Ovis aries: one gene and its partner. The protein of the gene in region 2 interacts with the protein of the main gene of each other region in a pairwise test. Links are inferred from orthologs where the notes say so. Each region holds a gene or a part of one and is shown on either strand. Other genes may lie near its edges.

Evidence for each region. The genes of interacting proteins can lie anywhere in the genome.
Region 1: the proteins of GRIPAP1 (region 2) and RAB4A interact in binary tests that used the Homo sapiens proteins (3 or more experiments, as listed by UniProt). The link is inferred for Ovis aries from reciprocal best matches to the Homo sapiens genes GRIPAP1 and RAB4A.

What each region holds. Positions count from the first base shown.
Region 1 is NC_056078.1:807,908-813,758, reverse strand, and holds part of RAB4A (ras-related protein Rab-4A), read right to left. Parts: intron 4,991-5,851; coding exon 4,928-4,990; intron 3,855-4,927; coding exon 3,700-3,854; intron 2,417-3,699; coding exon 2,321-2,416; intron 1-2,320. UniProt on the Homo sapiens protein: The small GTPases Rab are key regulators of intracellular membrane trafficking, from the formation of transport vesicles to their fusion with membranes.
Region 2 is NC_056080.1:56,090,330-56,097,269, forward strand, and holds the start of GRIPAP1 (GRIP1-associated protein 1), read left to right. Parts: upstream 1-3,052; 5' UTR 3,053-3,060; coding exon 3,061-3,102; intron 3,103-3,670; coding exon 3,671-3,793; intron 3,794-5,132; coding exon 5,133-5,199; intron 5,200-5,317; coding exon 5,318-5,379; intron 5,380-6,357; coding exon 6,358-6,384; intron 6,385-6,940. UniProt on the Homo sapiens protein: Regulates the endosomal recycling back to the neuronal plasma membrane, possibly by connecting early and late recycling endosomal domains and promoting segregation of recycling endosomes from early endosomal membranes.

The DNA of each region.
Region 1 (5,851 bases), on a different chromosome or scaffold from region 2:
TTGAGCCTGATTGTACTCCACACAACGCCAATTTTAATGTTACCTACTTATGCTATAGACTCTTTAAAAAAAAAAAATAACAGTACTGTACCAAGTTGAGTAACTATTTTGTTGCTGTTTTCAGACCAAAAGCCCACCGAGGAGTGGAGCACCCCTCTTTCTGCTGAGACCAGAGGTCTGTCTGGGCCCCAATACTCTCCCGCCGCCTTCCCTGCCCCACCCTCTCTGGCAGTTCCCCTCTCGCCTCTCCTTTACCTTCCTCTCTCTTCTCCCTCAGCATTTACAGGTGCTAAGACTTCTTCCATTCCTGAAACCTCTCATGTTAAATTAACCCTCTGCCTCCTCCTCCAGGGAGACACCCAGGCTCTGCTTCCTCATCTCCTCTGTGCTCAGTTGCTCCATTCCTCCCTGCATCATTCTGCTGGTAAAGATGACTAGTGACTTCCTCTTGCCCACCCCACCGGATACTTTCCAGCTCTAGATGAAAAGTAGATTCATTTGATAATGAACAGCCTTTTGGCTGGATGTGGCAGAAGTTACACTCGTGTTCCTGGGTGTCTTCCTGAATCTCCGGCCTTCCCCGCCTCCTCTCCTCCTTCGGTCTGCAAGGCTTTGCTCTGGGCCACTGCTCTTCCCACTCTTCACTGCTCTCTGGGGGGTCACATTCCTTCCCCTGGGGCACCTGCTCCTATAGACCGACGGCTCCCAAGGGAGCACCACCAGCTGGGTTCTTCCCACAGGTTCCTGGATGGTGCCCTGTGCCTGTTCCAGTGATGCCACCCAGGGAACATTTCAAAACACAGCCACCCTGCTTCCCGTGAACTGGCTTCTCCTCTGGTTCTGCCATCTCATCACTGAGCTACGCAGCTGTGACATGGAGTTACCTGTGGCTCCTCCTCTCTTGATCCCTGCTCTTCCAATACCCCACCAAGCCGAAAGGCCCTGCCCTGCTATTTGGCATCTGAGTCAGGATGCCACTGCCAACATGTTTCTTAGAGTCATCTATGTCTCTTCATCTCTGCTCCTCATCCTTGTTACAGCTTTAATCAGGCATCTTTTCTTGAATTACTCAAACATGCCTCGGTTGGTATCCTGGCCATCAGTCCTGGGCTCCCTTTGGTCCGTCTCTGATGTGACCGCCTACACACACGACGTGTCTCCAGCCACAACCTGACCATATCACTCTCTGCCCCCCACCCTCGAATGGCTTCTCAGCCCTACAGCAGTGGTCCTCTATCTTGGACGAACATGAGAATCACACGGGACAGCTTTTTAAAATGATGATGCTGAGGCCTTAACTCAGCATCTCCAGAGGTGGGGCCTAGAATTCAAATTTGTGCATATCCCAGGCGACTCTTGCGTCCAGCCAAGGTGGGGACTCAGTCACCCAGGGAGCGAAGTTCGAGCCTGGGTGAAGACCACTGGCCTGGCTGCTGCCTCTCCTCAGCCTTCTCTCCCGCCATTCCCCACTGCGGTCTTTCTCTTCTAGTGACTGCAACCTTCCCCCCAGTCTCCACTCATGCTGCCCCTCTGATGGCCTACCCTCCTCCCCACCCCCACGCCTGGTTCCTCCTCACACTTTGAAAGCCTGAGCTCAGTCACCGTCTCTTCCTAGAAGCTCTTCCTGATATCACCTCCTAAACAAGCAGGCTCTCCTTTGTGTGGCCCCAAGATCTGGCGCACTTCTCAGTTACTGTATTGACCACACTGTGTTATAATTATCTTTTGACTGTTTCCCATGAAAGACAGTTTCTTGAGGGCGAGGGCTGGGATTAATTTATTTTTGTATCCCCGCACTTGACAAAGAATAGGCATTCAGTTAAATGAATCAATTAAAAATGTAATGCCACATGTGATTTTGGTGATATTTGAATAAAAATTAACTCTAATAAATGACAACTATATGTTATTTTGTCAGCTGCCTATAGTAGAGTTGTTTTAAATTTATTTTTACTGAAGCAACAAGTAGAACAATAATGAGACAGGTCACTACTGTGACATGCTCAGTTAGCTTCAGAAACAAATTCTCCATGATGCCCGATCTGTAACCAGCAGCATTAAGCGAGGTGCCCATAACTCATTTCCCCTCACACAGTTGCTTCTCTGCCACCACACAGCTGAAAAAGTCCCTGTGAAGGAGGCCTGGGCTTCCACCTGCAGTGTAGACAAGACCTCCAAACCCCTAAGAGGTCACTGCAGGTCGGCAGGTAGAGAGAGGAAACTCCATGACCAAATCACTCCTGGAAATACTGAAAAGTGACGCTACTGAGCTAGAGAGGAAAATGTGCTAAAGGAAAGTTTATTAATGGGAAGTTCTTACCTGATTCAATTTTGTTAAGGATTTTTCTTGCACACTGTACAAAGGCCTCTTCTACATTCTCCCCTGTGAGTGCGCTTGTTTCCAGAAACATCAGCTCTAAAATCAACATCAAACAAAACATGAAGCCATATTTAGAAGATAATCACAATTATTCAACTCATAACCACCTGCTTAATGTATTATTCTCTTAGAATAGCAGACAAAATAGAATTCTGTCCTTATAACCAGGTATTTCTGCAAATAGAAAATCAATAAATGTCCATACATACATATTTTTTAAGTCTTAAAACAATTCCAACTTTTTCTGAAAAGTAACTGGCAGTGTGTGCTAGCACTCACATGTGCCGAAGAAGAAACTAAGCGAGCAGGACGCTGGCGGAAAGCAGTCTGGCCGAGGCGCCCAGCTGCTGGCATAGGGCTCAGCAGCAACTTCTTCCCACAGGCTTCAGGTCGCCAGACACAGCCTGCAAGTGCCGGCGCCGGGGGCCACGTGGCGTGTGGTCCCTGACAGTGGGAGGTCTTATACGAACGAGCCCTCTGCTCTCCACTGGGTGGTCACTCACCCAGGCGAAGGCCTCTCTCCTTGCTTTTGTGAGCAAACCACAACCTCTCCAGACACTTGTTTCCTTATTAGTCAAAATGAGGTGCATGTAAATGATAGAGAAATTCCTTCTGGGCATTAACATTCTAAGCTTACATATTTCTAAACAGCTTCTTTATAAACTCATAATGGCTTATGTTTTTATTGCATGCTTATTTTCTTAGCAGAAAACCTGTTTGTGGGAGTGTAAGTTGGCAGTTCTAGAGTCCCATTGAAAGTTGCTATTAGCGTATTTTATTTCCTGACTGGTTCTAAAAATTAAAGTTATTTTAAAATGTCTGAATTCTCGTCATTTTGCTGTCTATAGGGAATCGTTCATTTTATGTGTCATCCTTATGTATTCTACATAAAAATTCAGCAAGTTTCAAAGGCTAAATCTTTAGCCAAATGACTTAAATTTAATGTAAGCAAAATAAAGCCAGTAAGTCCAGTATCTCATCTACTGCTTCACTTTCTATTTAGATCTAATATTTCACCAACTTAGCTTCAAATTACATTTTAAAAATGATAACATCATCTGATTAGGGCCTTTAAAAATTGTTATAATTCTCACTTCAAACCAAGAGCTGTGATATTAAAGATGCCAAACTGGAACACCATCACAGAGTGCAAAGAGATCAGCTTCTATCATCACAGCAGCCTCTGCAGGCACAATGCAACAGGGTGAAAATATGCTAGATGTCCAAATGTCTAATGGCAACAATAGGAGGTTCCACACTCCGTAAATACAGCTTCATCTTAGACCTCCAGTAGCTGTGACAGGTGAAAGGCCACTTGCCATTTTCCTGAGCAAATCGGGAGGCCTCCAGGAAAGTGACTTCCCGATCGGTGTCCAAGTCCTTCTTGTTCCCGCAGAGGATGATGACAATGTTCTGGCTCGCGAGCATTCGGGCATCTGTTAACCAATTAGTAAGCGCATTGTAGGTTTCTCGGCTGCGTAATATAAGATTGTGAGAACAGTACATGTATTTTATAAAGCTAGCAACTCTTTCCAGTCACTCACACCACCTCTATACACGCAGGGCAGTGCCCACGACCTTCAAAGCACTCAGAGGACCTGGGCGCCCCAAGAGCACACCACATGCCAAGGGTGTGTTCCACCTTGTTTCCAGGGAGATGCCACAGCGAGTCAGACAGCTTGCCACCGGCTGTTTCCCCAAGCAGGGTGCGGTTATTTACTCGGGTCTTGGTTTACACAACACGCGAGCAAAACCTAAGGCTAACTGCTGTCACTCGACGAATCCGTGCAACATGACGGTCCTTTGTTTCACAGGAATTTATCACATTGATTCTCTGCGACACACTCTTATCATCTCCCATTTACACGAGAAACCTAAGGCCCAGAGAGACTGGTTTAAGTTGCCCAAAGTCACACACATGGAGCCAGGACTTGACCAGGTCTGTCTGCCTCCAGGACTGTGTTCAGCTCTTATCTATCTAAGGGCAAAATCCTCGTATATTCTAAGGACCGACCAAGGAACTGAATTTTTCATTGAATTTAACTGTGACACCAAGGTGACAGCTACATGCAGGACAGTGCACTCAGATCCTTAAGATGGGCCAAGAGCTTTATAGGAACCAATTTAACCACCCAACAGCCTCACGAGTATTATGTGGTCACCATGACTCAGTGGAACAGACAAGGAAACTAAAGTCCAGAGGGCTCACACTGCTTTGGGACAGGAACCAGGATTTGAACCCAGGCCACTGCAGCATAGAGCCCGTGCTTGATGGAGGACAATTACTAACAATTTACCACGTGCAAAACTTCAAGCTGTGAATCTTAAGGAAACATGACGACACAGGAGATGCTTTATCTATCTGAAACTTGGGAACAGGTTTCACATGGTGAAGAGGTGAAAGGGGCTGCTCTGAAAACCTGCAAGACCCTCAGGGAAAGGGCGGAGGGTCTTGCTGAGTCCCACCTCTGCTGTCCGCTGCCACACCAGCGGCCTGTGGGGAGGAGCGGGCCCCAGGGAGCATGGGCTGAGTAGGGGTGTTATTACCTGGTGATGTCGTAGACAAGCAGTGCCCCCGCTGCGCCTCTGTAGTAGCTTCTTGTCACAGACCTGGAAGAGTTACAGGCTTTTACTTTCAAGGGAGCAGAGCCCTTGCTCACGAGCAGCAGCCTCCCATGCAAAACACCCGTTTTTGGCCTTGACAACTGCAATACAGTGCCAGATACCTCTCTAAAGAGAAATGATACAAAGACATTTGAAAGCAGACACGAAGGGCTGTTCTGTCCAAAACAGGATCACAGTAGTGATAAGGAGGTGGGGCCATGAGGCTGGGGACGAGTGTGCCCCTCATGGAGTGGGGGGGCCCCGCAGAACTGAGGGACCTTTGAGAACATGTAGGGGAAAGACAGGAAGGCGGCAGCAGGGCTACAGTGCATGAGGCCCTCGGTGGCTCCTCTGCTTGCGTGGGGTCGCCTTCCAGGGCACGGGCTATCACACGCCCTGCCCCAGGCCCGGAGGTGCAGCTCATGCTCCCTCCCTCCTGGGGGCACACCAGTCTGAACTGAGCGCCCACCCAGGTACAACACGTCCATTCTCACAACCTCCAGAGTTTTCCTTCAGTAAACACTTCCCTGAATCATGACTTTCCCTGTTCATTAGATTTTCCCAGGGGCAGAATAAAATGTGCTCGGCACCTCCTGTCTTGAACAAGCATGGTGCAGGCAGCAGGAGGCTCCTGCTACTGTTCCAAAGGGGATTCTTTTGCACCCAGACTTCTCAGTAGCTGCTCCACCAGTGCCTCTTCCTCCTCCTCCTCCATGACACAGCCCATCTGGACCACGCAGCTCCACGGACAGATGACCCAGTGCCAGCTGCCCTCCCCCTCTGCCTCGACCCCCTGCCTCCTCCCTCTGCTCTACAGCCCACTCCGTGTTGCATCACTGGAGACACTCTGATTTCACTCTCATACTT
Region 2 (6,940 bases):
TTTCCTTCTATTCTGTAGGTTCTTTGCTGGTTTAATAATTAAACTGACATAAGACAGATAAATAGGAGAAAAACTAATTTTGTATGTGCAGGATACCCACAAAAATATGAGACCCAAAGGTAGCTAGGCAATTGAGGCTTACATGCCAAACTGAGCTAAGGAATGGGATAAGGGCTTCAGAGATGTTTCAAAGGGGAGGAGGGCAATTCACAGGATGATAAGAGCAGATGTTTCTTAGTCAAATGTTTGCTTGGCTATGCCAGGTCTTTTAGATAAAACGTTATCGCTGGTATAGCTCTCTTTCTGGGCCAGACCACCTATCTTAATTCTTCTAAGCGGTTAAAGGAGAGGTAGAAATTTTTCTTCAGTGTGCTGGTCTTGATTCTTTACAGCTTAAAATAAGTCACACACCAAAGTACCACATTTTGTAGACATTTCTCTAAAGAAGACACAGATGGCCAACAGCTACGTGAAAAGATGCTCAGTATCGCTAATTATTAGAGCGATGCAAATCAAAGTGGCATATTTGGAGGTGGCATTTCTGCTCCTCTTCACACGTGCTCATTTGTGTGAAAAGAAAGAGAAAGGATAAACTAGAAATTAAATAGGTTGGTTACCTCAACAGGGAGGTGGAGGGAAGGGCAAAATGGAATTCAAACACAAACAAAGGAATCTAACCATATTTCAAATGAATCATGCAGCCTCATGGGGGAGGGGCATCAGGGAGAGTGAGCACTAACCCAAGCAAATTTTTAAAAAATCTTTTTGGCCACTGGCATGTGGGATCTTAGTTCCCTGACCAGGGATCAAACCTCACCACCTGCATTGGCATCTCAGAGTTTAAACCAATAGACCACCAGGGAAGTCCAAGCCAAGCAAATTTTGGACACAGTATTTTGACTACCATCAGATTAAAAACAAAAGGAACTGCATTGTACTGAAGCTATGGTAGTCTTGTTAAACACAATATTTTGACTAGAAACCAACAGGAATCTAAAGACAAAAGAAGCTGTAAAAAAGTATTGACCTCTAGTTGATAGATTTGTTTTTCATAGTTTATGGGTAAGCAATTCTGGAGTTAATGTGCATTATGATTACACAAATAAGTACATTTATTGTGGACAGTGGGAGATAGGTTTCTTTCTGTTGGAGAAGAATATGAAAAGTGAGGAAACTAAAATGAATCTTGTGTGTTGTGTTGAAATGGAAGTTATTAGTAGTGTACTTATGTTTTTAAAGTACATATACCTAAAAAATAAAAGGTACTTACCCCATGGTCCAGTGGTTAAGACTCCTTGCTTCCACTGCAGAGGGTGCAGGTTCTATTCCTGGTCAGGGAACTAAGATCCAACATGCCACACAGCATGACCAAAAAAATAAAAATAAAAAATATATATACCTATAGTAAAACACGTAACTAGATATAATAGATATGTGTGTATACATGAATTAGTCCATATACATGTATTTTTTGGCTCTGTACACTGAGACGGCATAGAAAAAATTACACTCTAGTAGCAATGAACACTTTCTCAACTGGGGCTAAAAAGGAATAATGTTGAGTCTGGTGCATCTTGTAATGCCAGAAAGCAAGGAAATGCTTTAAAAAAAAAATGATGGGGCCATGTCAAAGGGACACAAAAGTCAACCTGAAGGAGCTTCCATTGGCTAAATCTGGGACAATTTGAGCATCAAAGGAAATAATGATACTGATTGATTATAATCTATGGAATAAAATAATGAGTCTGTACAGATCTAAACACATAAATGGGGAAGAAGAGAAAGCTCTTTCTTACAGTAGATTAATAACTAACAAATATCAAAGGAATGTTGGTGTTAGGAAATCATTGATGGATGCTGAAGTCAATAGTTCAAAAATTTTATATCTAAAAACAGGATGATAAAGGAAAGGTGGCAAAATGTGAACAACTGATGAAGCTGGCAGAAGGGTACAGGTAATTTCCTTATGGGCTTCCCTGGTAGCTCAGACAGTAAAGGACCCGCCTGCAATGCGGGAGACCTGTGTTGAGTCCCTGGATTGGGAAGATCCCCTGGAGGAGGGCATGGCAATCCACTCCAGCATTCTTGCCTGGAGAATCCCCATGGACAGAGGAGCCTGGCGGGCTACAGTCCATGGGGTCAAAAAAGGTCGGACACAACTGAGTGACTAAGCACATTCCCTTATAGCATTCTTGCTTTTCTGTAAGTTTAAAATGGCATAAAATCGTTTTTCTCCTCTTCCCACTAAAAAGACAAAAAAGATAGAGAAAATAGGGCATATCCTAGTACCAGATATGTTGCTGCTAAACATGCTAATTTTTTTCTTTCCCAAATAAAAACTACTGCTTGGGTGGCAGGGTTTGCAGCAGTGGCCGGTAAGCACAAGAGACGTTTATAATGCATTTTAACACTTATTTAAATGTTCCTGATGTTTTGCTATCCTAGTTTTGTTTTTTAAGTGAAGCTTTCTCGTTTGATTCACTGCCATTCTTTCCTCACAGGTATTTTAAATTTATTGGTGGCTGGGCCCTTTACCTAACAGTATCATGTTAAAAAAAAAAAAATCAGCGTCAAATCTTAAAACAAAACAAAACAAAACACGCCAAGGGCTTCACAAGAAACGGGATTCCCTTTTTGGGGTCACCCGGAGGAGGGCCGGAACAAGACACGCGCAAAGCTTCCGCTTTCATTTCCACTGTAAAGCCGACCATTTTCCTTAAAGGAGTACCGCGGAAGCGCGATTTTCGGTCGGCAAACACTTCCCTAGCGACGAGTCCCATGACACAGGAATGTCACAGTGTCGCATCACAATGAGTAGTCTAATGATAGCTCAAAAACCAGATCTAATGACCTGGATTCTGGTAAAATACTAAACTGCAATTCACTTAACCGGCCAGTTTTTTTTTTTTCTCTTGTCTCGGTTTCCAAAACGCTGAACTTCCGGAGTAGACTCCTCCCCCTCTATTCCTGCCCGGTGGTTTGGTCCGACCCAATTCTACTGACAGGAGAGACAAACCGCGTCGGCGCAGAAAGCTGTTGGGGGGGTGGGGGGGGAGGAACATGGCGCAAGCTCTGTCAGAAGAGGAGTTTCAGCGGATGCAGGTACCGCTTGGCGGGGAAAAGCAGGCTAGGCGACGGGGGTGCGGGGAAGAGAGAAATTGTGCCACCAGCTTTGAGCAGGGGTTGGTTGGGATGGACCTTGAGTCTAAGGGGTCTGGAGAAGGGAAACTGAGGCTCCGAGTGGTGAGACTACTGGATTCCGAGAAACTGTTGGGCTCTCAGCAGTTGGATTCTGTTAGCCTTGTGGGTGGAAGAGAGATCTAGCGTGGGTGATACCTTACTGAGACTTGGAGGGGACGAGACCTTTGGGCTCGTGTGGGAGACACCCTAGGTGGGCGATTATATTGCTGAGCTTTGGGGGAAGGAGATCCTGAGAAGGCGAAACCATTTTGCCTGGAGAGGAAGGAAGCGGGCGTTTGGTTGTTTGCGTCATGGTGGGGGGAGCCCTGGAGAGGGCAATACCATTACTGGTGGGAGGTAGACATTTTTGTGGGAGATACCACTATGCCAGGGCACTGGGGAAAGACCCCACATGTTGTCATTGTTCCTGGGAGGTGGAGCTTCTGTGCAAGGGGTGGTACCATTGGATGATTAGGGGTGATCCCATTAGGGCTGGGGTGATGAAGGCCCTGAATGGGTAATACCATTAATCCTTGTTGGAGAGAGAACCAGAGGAGGTGAAAGAGTGATACCCTTGGACCACGTGGAGAGGAGATCACCGGGCTCTGGGAAGGTACCCTGAGTATTCTGACCACTTGATTCTTTTGGTGGGGCTCAGAGATGGGATGAAAGGCCAAAGGGGGCCCTTGTTGAGATAGTTCCTTACTGGGGAAGACCATTGGATTTTGTGTGTGGGTAGACTCAAGGGGGGGAAACCCTGTGTAGGGTCTGTGGGAGGACAGGAGGAACTCCAAGTGAAGACAGATAATCCATTCGTCCTTGAATGAAGGAAACCAGTTGTCACTGTGTGAAGGACCCTGAGGGTGGAAGGGCGAGATAATTGTACCATAAAAGGGGAAGGCCCTTGTAACTTGTGCATAAGGGTTATCCCATGTGAGTAAGGGTAATCCACCTAACCCATCCAAGGCCTTGTGGGGGGAAAAACCCTGAAGGGTATAGGTTCATCTCATTGGATCATGACTGGGAAGATCTTGTGGGGTGTAGGAGACCCTTGAGTGAGGAAGATTGATTCCATTAGTCATGAGTGAAGGGAAAACCATTGGACTCTGATGGATAGAGACTCTTAATTGGGTGCCAGGGGTGTTCTCATTGGATCAGGAGGAGAGGGTCCAGGAGTGGACAGGGGCAGGAAAGTTGTATAGGGGCCAAGCCCTCTCCCCTTTAGCAGACCATCCAGGGATGGAGTCTAGTGCCATGGGAGAGAGGGAAAGGTCCTGGTGCTGTAAGGGATGGTCGTTCTGGGAAGAACTGGCCTCAGTGCCCTGCAGGGCTGGTAGGTAGGGATATGCTGTTTGGAATGGCCCATACTTCACTTGTCCTCGATTCTTGAAAGGGATCTGGACATTTTGAGAGCCTTGCTTGTGGGAACCCCAGGGAGCCCGTTTTTACTCAGTGAAATTGGTCATTATACCAAATCCTCTTCCCTTGGGAAAGAGGGAAGAAGGCAGTGCCCTGCCCCCTACTCAGGCCAAGAGGATAGACAACACCTCTGATAGAAGACTGAAAAGTGTTTAGTGTGTGATGAGGCCAGCCAGGGTGAGGAGGCCAACTTCATCCTGAGGGCACGGAGAGCCATGGAACACACAGGAACAAGAGATGGACTGGGTCAGCACTGTGGCATCGCCTGGGGTCATAGTTGGACTGAAAGGGGAGAGGTGGAGGCAGCAGGGAGATGGGCGAGGCTGGCTGTGGTCATAAGTAGAACTGGAGAAGGTGGGACAGGGGCTGAGTGGCTGGACTCATTTGGGATGCAGCAGGCACAGGTCTTAAGAGTGACTAAAAAGGCACAAGAAGGGCAACAGGGTCTCTGGGGCTCAGAGGGTTGGTTCACTCCTCATAAAGGTAGGGGGCACATTCCTGCCAAGTCATTTCCTTCCATGCTTCCCTCTCAGGCTCAGCTACTAGAACTCCGGACAAACAACTACCAGCTTTCAGATGAACTACGCAAGAATGGTGTTGGTAAGCCAAGAGGGTCTCATTAGATGGGGGTGGCTCTGGGGGACAGAGGCCTGGCAGAAAGACCTTTCAGCTCCTTACCACTGACTGAAGCTGAGACTCCCTGCTTTCCCCACACCAGAACTCACCAGTCTTCGACAGAAGGTTGCCTACCTGGATAAGGAGTTCAACAAAGCTCAGAAGGTACCTCCCTCCACCTACTCACTCACCCAAGTTTCCCTGTAGCCATCTGACTCATTCATTTGTCCAGTGAGCACCTGCAGTGAACCAGCATGTAACCTAATGTTACATGTTGTCATTAGTCATTCAGAAATTTCTCATGGAATTCTCCTTTGTTTGGTAATTTTATCTAATTTTGTTTAATTTATTGATTAATTTTAGTTTACTCTTAATTCATTTTTAATTTCAACTACTTACTCAAAATAATCAAATCTATCAGTAAGTCATCTTGACTCTGCCTTCTGTCCTCCACTCATATTCCTGCCTTGTGCTCCTATTCCCCACCCCGTCCTAGTCCTGTTGGTAAAGTAAGACTAAACCTACCTCTCAGATCCTTTGAAGGTGAGATAGCATATAACCTGTCATGGCCCCTTAAGGCATTCAAGGCCCTCCTTTGTCTCTTTCTTCACTGCTCTGTCTCCAAGCATTGCACAATGTTGTACATAGTATGTGCTCCATAAACATTTGCTAGATGAAGGAATACAGAATGCAGAAAGTCTGGCAGTCAGAAAGCTGGGCTTCTCTGTCTTTGATAGGGTGCTGATTTCCCAAATTGGCAGTGTCCTCAGCTGCCCAGCAGAGGAACAGCAGTTTCCATGGTTCTTTGGAGGGATCCACATAGATATGTTTGGACAGATGTAGCAATGAAGCCATAATTTCTGAGCCCAGAGATCCAGCCTGTGAAGGGTTAAATACTATGACCCGTGAAAAGCTCAAGAGCTTAGAGGAAAGGGTGTAAGCAGGGTGCTCCTTACTCACTCACTCACTCCATTCCTTTAGGCTATAAATTGTTGCTCTGTGGTTCTGTGGTTATAGACACCCCCGTCCCTCAACCCCTGTTATCATTGTGCCCCCTTGACATTTGCCACAATTTCTCCATACCCTAGTGAAGGAGTCCATCTCTGTTCACCTTATCTCTCTTCCCATCCCCCTCACCTTTAGGCACTGAGCAAGAGCAAGAAAGCTCAGGTAAGGGGACCCCTGGCGGGTAAATGTGTCTGGTAGACTGCCTTAGAGGGGATGTTTCGGTATGCTGGGATCTCCTTGCACTGGCCTTTCTTTCTCTGTGTGTGCACTTGCATCTGTGACTGCCTCCCAGCCATGTGTTTTTGTGTCTGTCTTTTGTGTTCCTGTTTTGTCTCTCTCTGTGTGTCTTTCTCCCTTTTTCTTTATCCTCCTCTCTGAGCCTCTCTCAGTCTCTGTCTTCCTGTTCTTCTTGGACTCTTGTTTCTCTCCCCAACCTTCTCTTTGTCTTTCTTCCACCCGTTATCTCTGCCATTGTTTCATTTCTTCTTTCCCTTTCTTTGTCTCTCTTGACTCCTTTTTCCTTACTCCCCTGTTCCTCTCTCTTTTCCTGGTTCATTTCTTTTCCTGACCCCCTCTCTCTGTTCCATCCTCCTTCTGTTGACCTCTTTGTTCCTATCTCTCCATCGTCCTACTTTTTCTTTTTCTCTCTCTCCCCCTCCCCATCCCTCTGTCCTTCCTCTCTAACCTCCTTTCCCCATCTCTCTGTTTTCTTTCTCTC